2 linked regions of the Cricetulus griseus genome follow. The protein of the gene in region 1 interacts with the protein of each later gene in a pairwise test. Links are inferred from orthologs where the notes say so. Each region holds a gene or a part of one and is shown on either strand. Other genes may lie near its edges.

What was found.
Region 2: the proteins of Flacc1 (region 1) and Sult2b1 interact in binary tests that used the Homo sapiens proteins (3 or more experiments, as listed by UniProt). The two-hybrid records come from large-scale screens. The link is inferred for Cricetulus griseus from reciprocal best matches to the Homo sapiens genes FLACC1 and SULT2B1.

The regions. Positions count from the first base shown.
Region 1 is NC_048595.1:413,152,874-413,156,692, reverse strand, and holds part of Flacc1 (flagellum-associated coiled-coil domain-containing protein 1), read left to right. Parts: intron 1-622; coding exon 623-675; intron 676-2,412; coding exon 2,413-2,512; intron 2,513-3,819.
Region 2 is NC_048599.1:154,631,204-154,634,543, forward strand, and holds the end of Sult2b1 (sulfotransferase 2B1), read right to left. Parts: intron 2,207-3,340; coding exon 2,026-2,206; intron 1,012-2,025; coding exon 779-1,011; 3' UTR 773-778; downstream 1-772. UniProt on the Homo sapiens protein: Sulfotransferase that utilizes 3'-phospho-5'-adenylyl sulfate (PAPS) as sulfonate donor to catalyze the sulfate conjugation. Responsible for the sulfation of cholesterol.

The sequences.
Region 1 (3,819 bases):
GGGCTCTACTGGGTAAGCCTCACTGCTTACACTGCCCTTGGGAAGAGCAGTGTGCATCCTTCAGATACTGGCTTTACAGACTTATGCCCACAGAGAGGAGAAACTCTAAACTATAGAGTCTATAGTCCTTTATTTTAAGTTAGTGTCTTATTTATACTTTGCTTGTTTTCCAGTTTCCTAAAGAGAATATGTGGTTTTCAGAACCATTGTAAAGGGACAAGTGTTACTAAAAGGAGAAGCAGGTGCATGCTGGGAGGAGAGGCAGGTGCATGCTGGGAGGAGAAGCAGGTGCATGCTGGGAAGTGCTGTTCCTTCTTCCCACAGACAAGCATGTACTTCCGAGGGTTCTTACTAAAATGGTTGAGCAGAGCAGGTGAGTGTCGATATCACTGAGAAGCATATGTGTCAAGGAGCGCCAGGCCCCACCTCCAGATGCTCTGCATTAGTTGGCTCGGGCAGGATCCAACATCTGGGTTTTTAATAAGCTTCCAGAGTGACTGGGGAGTCATAGGAAGATTTCATCACCTTGGGAGGACCTCGAGTGTGGTGCTGAGTAGTTCACATGAGATTTGGAAAGTGTGCCTGTCAGAAATAGTGATGCCCTTGTTTTCTTTCCATTCAGATGGAATGAGCAAAGAATATAAGTATCTGAAGAATATGTTTCACATGTATCAGGTGAGATTCAGAGTTGTCTGATAGATTCTGAGAGGATGAGAAGCAAGGCTCATCTCTGATTGACAACATGTAGAGATTCTAACATCTTTCCACCACAGTGTCACTACTGTACCCAGCAGGAAGCATGAACCAGAGGCTTCCATGCTTGACAGACCAACCGTGCAAATCTGAAGAGGTCTATTGAAAAAAACTGTTTGTGGTCATCAAAGTAATAGCTGTTGACGGTTTTTCAAAAAGGAAATGGGGGGAGGAGAGAAGGGCTAGAGAGATAGCTTAGCAGTTAAGAGCACTGGTTGCTCTTCCAGAGGACCCTAGATTCAGTACCTACATGGTAGCTCAAAACTATCTCTAACTGCAGTTCCAATGCCCTCCCTCTTCTGGCTTCCTCAGGCACCAGGCATACACACAATGCACAGACATAGGTGCAGTCAAAACACTTATCCACATAAAACAAGTAAGTGTCTCCCCCCACACACACAGTGGAAATAACCAACAACAGCAACACCTAAAAGAAAGAATTGTCACTCACCAGAGGTGACCCCTGCAAATACCTGTGCTTTGCTTTAACTTTCACTGAGACTATGGCATAGCGAATCTATGTACATTTTTGTATCTTTTCACTGGGCATATTAGTGCCTCTCCTTCCTTTTTCATGACTGCCCATCCTAATGAACATGCCTTCGGCATCTCTCTGTCCCCTTCCTGTTGACCATGTGCTGTTTCGGTCACTTGCTGTGATGGAAAATAGCACTTTGAACACAGTTGATCCTAGCAGTGGAGTACTAGTCATGCTAGTCAAAGGAATGAACAGATTTAAGGCCTTTCACGGATTTGGTCACGTTGCTATCCAAAAAGTCTGTCGCATTCTACACAGTCCATGAACTCAACGCTGGAGTTATTTCAGAACATAGCCCATTCCTTTCATCCCTGAGCTGGTTGGCTTTTTGTCAGCGTGACACAAACAGGAGGAGGGAGCCTCATTTGAGAAATTGCTTCCATCGCCTGTGGACAAGTCTGTGGGCATTTTCTTGATTAATAACTCTTGTGGGTGAGCTCAGCCCACTGTGAGTGGGGCCACCTCTGGACAAGTGGGCCTGGGGTGTATGTAGAAGCAGGCTAGGCAAGCCATGGAGCCAGCCAGTAAGCAGCACTTCTCCATGGTCTTTGTATCGGTTCCTGCCTTGAGATCCTGCCCTGACTTCACTCAGTGATGGAATAGAATGTAGGAGTATAAACTAAATAAACCCTTTCCTGCCCAAGTTGCTTTTGATCTGTCTGTTGTCACAGCAATGGAAAACAAAATAGGACAATTCCCCAGACTTGATCAAGTTCCAGAGTTGGAGCTAGCTCTCTTACAGGAAAATGCAGAATCGGATGTGATCTCTGAAACAGAGAGCCTTTCCTGTCTTCAAAGGAAGTTGAGATCCAGCTTGGCAAACGCTGTTTGAAGTTTGTAGATAGCCCTTTGACCCTTGAGCTTATCCTAGTTCCCCACTGAGCTTAGCTGGGGCTGGAGAGATGGCTCAGCTGTTAAAGGGTAGGCTCATAACCAGAAACATAAAAGTTTAGCCGGAATTGTTTTTAAGTATCACCCACATAGGGGCCCCTTGGTGATGCCCAGTTGAAGGGAGAGCAAGGTCCCAGTGCTCTGCTGAGTGCCCAAGGGTGCTGTCAAAGCATCTGCAGTGCCCACCCCCATGTTATAGCTCTTTTCAAAGTGCCTCTGTGCCCCCACAGGATAGCGTTTATGATGAAATGGAAGATACATGGTCCAGGCGGAAGGCAGAATGGGAGAAGGATGAGAAGATGGAGCGAGAAAAGATTCTGTTGCAACAAAGTGAGTAACACAGAAACTACTGGCCTTTTCAACCATAACAAGAGTGTCAAACACAAAAACAAACAAAACCTGCTGTCAATCTTGACCTTGACTTGAGGGAAGGGGCCCTGGATTTACCAAGGGTGAAAGGCCAGATGATGAACTTTCTGAATGAACGGTGCCTTGCATTGCTAAGAAACAAAGGACACCGAGGGCAAGACTTGTTTTGTTGTTGCTGTTGTTGTCTGTTTAGTTGGTTTTTGTTTTTGTTTTTTTTTTCATTTCAGACACATTATTAATGAAGGGATCCAAAACTTACATGTTCAACCATCATGGGTTGGAACAAATATGGGAACTGGGACCTATAAAGAATGTGGAATCTAAAATCCAAGGAGGAATTCTAGAATTAGAATTTAAATTATTCAGCTGAGGGGGAGAACAGGGCGGGGAAAGGGGTGGGGACAACACAAGTCTGTTATACTGACAGCCTCCATGTCCCCCACATACCCCACAATAGAAGCCATGATTGGTAAGTATTTTCAATATTTCTAATACTTGGCTAGAGCTTAGATCAAAATGCCATACAGATGCAGTTCTCACTCACTGAGCTTCCTAGGAAAGGAAGAAGGAAGGGGTAGAAATTGTCCGGGGGGGGGGGGGGCGCAGCTGAAGAGATGGCTCAGAGGTTAAGAGCACTGACTGCTCTACCAGAGGGCCTGAGTTCAATTCCCAGCAACCACATGGTGGCTCACAACCATCCGTTATGAGACCTGGTGCCCTCTTCTGGTGTGCAGATATACATGGAAGCAGAATATTGTATACATAATAAATGAATAAAATCTTTAAAAAAAAAAAAAAGAAATTGTCCCTGGGTCTAGAGGAATAATTGAGACAGGTGTGAGCCTTCTACACACCTATTCCAAAGTCTATGCCAGCTCCATTCATTGTACATTTATTGGTTAAAATCCAATTAATCACTTAAATACAAAGGTTTCTGGGAAAGTCAGCTCTCCTAGTAAGGACTGCCCAGGCTTGGCAGCATGAGGATGCTGGAATTGAGGCTGGAACGAGATATGGAGGTACATATGTATAGGGCTTTTCCTGGGATACTGCATCACCAGAAGAGCTCCACATTGAAGAAAAGAAAAAAACTAAGTCAGGGTGCAACCCCAGTTAGCTTTACATCATGTAGCCCACTGGAGTTACCCAGTCAGCCCAGAGACACCCACCATCCCTGTAGCTGGACACCGAGGGAATTTGTGTTTGCTCTTCCCTTCCTCCTGTTTGGTCCTGGGGCTCTGCTGCCAGATCTTCCAGCCCTAAATACA
Region 2 (3,340 bases), on another chromosome or scaffold:
GTCTTAATTGCTCTAGAACTGGGTGAGCTCAGCAGAGCTAAGGGCTTAATGTCACCATGCGGGAAATGGGCAGAAGGTTCCAGAGCAACAGGTATTCACCAGATAGAACTGCTTCAGAGACAGGCCCAGCTGCCCATCCATGTATAGTATAGAGACTGTAGGGCAACCCCAGAGGAGAGGCACCCCCACCTATGTATAGGCAGTGGGTAGAGTGAGTCCAGGAGAGGAGCACTAACTATGATGAAGGTGAAGGGGAGGAGCAAGGCTGATGAACAAGGGACACTGAGACACTGGGTATGTCCGGGATTTTTGTGGGAACTGAGGGAAAGCATCAGAATGCTTCCCTCTATTTCTGCTCAGATTAAACTCTTGACAACACAGGCATGTGTCTCCATGGCTTTCTCAAACCCAGCCATCCCCTCCCCCAGCCTCCCAACTCCAGAGTCCCTCCCCACAGCTCCCTCCCCAGTCCTCTTTCAGACCCAGGGTTCCATCCCACCCCACCCCCCAGGTCCAGGGGTCAGGCCCCAGCCTGGCATCCCTGTTGAGTTCATGCCCAGTGTGGGTCTCCACACCCCTTTCATGTTGTTTTCATATGGTCACCAAGTAACCCAGGCTGAATGTGAATTTGCAATCCTATTGCCTCTACCTCCCAAGCAATGGGATGAGAAGTTAGTCTCACTGGCCCTCTGTGGCACTTTTGCATTCTGTCTGTGGCGCGTCTCCCACTTGCCCCTGACAGTGTGGCGTGGAGGAAAGGGCAATTGGACTGATAGGTTTATTGTGAGGATGCTGGGTCAGGGTTATCAGAGGATCCTGGGCTGGGACTGGGGCTGGGGCTGGGGCTGGGGCTGGGGCTGGGCTCAGGGTCAGGTTCGCCATCAGGGCTGGTGTCCTCTGGGGACATGTCCCAGGGGAAGCTTGGTTGTCCCCGCATCTGCTCACGGTAGACACGGTCGAAGGCCTCGCTCTGTGCCACAGTGAAGTGGTTCTTCCAATCACCACTGATCCCTGGAAGGGACCAGAGGAAGGGACCACTGAGGAGCTGCTGGGGTGTCCCCCTCTGCCTCCACTCACCATGACCAACTATACCATCTGTGCCACCTAACCAGATCCCCCCATGCTTACTGCCTCCTTCTCTCACATCTAGGTGACTCTTGTCAGCCTTGTCCTTTTGACCTGTGGCCTCCCAGATCTCTTCTGGGAACTCACTTCCCTCCTAGCACCCAAACACCCACTTTATAACCTGTGTGTCACCTCCCCTAGGAGCTGCTGCTTCCAGCACATAGTACCTCTCAGGTACCCAACATGGCCTCTAGCCATGTGACTTGACGGCCAGAGCACCCCAGGGACCAGGCACTCTGAAGGCTGTACACAAATGGACCAGTTTGAGGTTTCCAAAGCCTTTGAGCTGCCTCATCTCAGCAAGATGCCCCACAAGCATGCCATCATGAGTGCTGGTCCCTCATGTCACAGTGACTATTAGGGTCTACCCCTTGCCTGTGTGGAAAAGGACCATTTGAATAGCCTGTTGAATTTTAGTTACATGTCATGTCACCTCTGGTGAGGCCAGGAGGTTCCCCAAGGGGGACTGATATACCTAGATATCCTCACTCCCAATTCTTGGAATTTAGAACATGAAACCACATGGCAACAGGGCCTGGAGATGAGGGACCGGCCTGGACCACCTGGTCCTGCTTTGTTTGGAGACAGAGTCTAAAGTAGTCCAAGCTGGCCTCAACTCTGTGTGGCTGGTTTTGGTAGGTGAGCACCACTACACCCGACTAAATACTTAATTATTCTGTATAATACACAGGATCCTGGGAACCCAGATATGGAAGCACTCAGGAGGCTTCGTTCCAGGGAGACACCCAGATGGAGGCAGGTTAGCAAGCAGGAACCTGGAATGCCAGACCTCTTGCTAAGAGTGAAGACTAGGCTAGGTGACCCTGTACACTCCATATGGCATCTGGAAAAATAAAGGCCCACCAAAGCTATGAACTACCTAGAAGCACACAGTGGTACCTTTGCGCAGGAACGCCCCCTGGCGGTGGTCCAGCAGGCTGGCTGGCAGTAGTGTGTAGTTGGACATCGTATTGGCCTTCATGGCACCAAAAGCAGAATGGGCCACCACAGAGCTCAGGGCCTCTTCACCCAGTGGCCGGCCCAGGAACTCGCAGAGGCGTTGCACGGAGCCTCGAAGGTCCTGGGGTGGAAAGAGGAATAATCGGTAGAGTGGGGACCACTTTGGGTGGACTGGAGGGGCTCCTGACTCTTTGTCTCAATTTCCCCACCTCCAAGTCAAAGCTTTGGGCCTCCCTGTCCTCCAGGATTCTAGAGGATTCTGCAGGGGGTGGGGGAGTGTAAGTTGGCAGAGGTCAGCCCTGCAGCTTACAGAGAACCCTGTTGTATGTCAGAAGTGGACAGTTGTGGGAGAGACTCCTTGACCCTTCCCAACATCCCAGCACCGGTCTCTAGGGTTTACCCTACCCTATCTGCCTCAGCCCAGATACCTGTCATGCCTTTTTTTTTTTTTCCCGTGTCCTCATCTCTAGGTCCCCAATATCCCTATCCTAGCCCACATCACATCCTCTCTCTCGCAGACCCTCACGTCTGCAAGCCCTTTCCGAGGCTGCCTGCTCCAGCCTCCTTCCTAGCCCTTCAGTTCCGCCACTCTTCCCTAGCTTCCCCGATTCAGTGACTCCCCAGAATGTGGGACAGAGTCTATCCAGGCCTGATTTTCAAGGACAGAGTGGTTTGGTGTGAGCCCCTCCTTCCCACACTTCCCACCTCCACATCTTAGCACAAGATTTCTTGATATGCTCTTTGCCACTGATAAACTCAATTGCCATCTTCCTTGTGACACTTGGCTCAAGTGCCAGGAACCAGACTGTGACCCAAAGTCCTCATTCACATTTGTGCTGATCCTGCCATCAGCTTTGAACCTAGTTGGCAAACAGAGGTCCAGAGATAGCAAGATACTTGTCCAAAGTCACATAGCCCGGAAGCTCAGACTCAGGCCCCAAGCCCCAGGTCCTCTCAACCTCACAGCCATCTTTGGGATGCAGCGTTCTGCATGGCTGGTCAGTACATAGCCCCACAGCCTGCTTTTCCAGGTCATTCCTGTTTCATAACCCTTTCTTCTCTGAGCCACCGGTCTGTCCCAGAAACACACATGTGGGCGGTGCCAGGCACCCCAGGAGTGGCCCAGAAGCTGTGCTTGGTTCCATGGCCCAGTTTTTGGAGAATAAAACCTGATTGGATGTAGGTAGAAAGACATGGTGCTGAAACCTTTTCCAGAACTTTCCATCAGAAGAAATTACCAGGATGGAAAAAATAT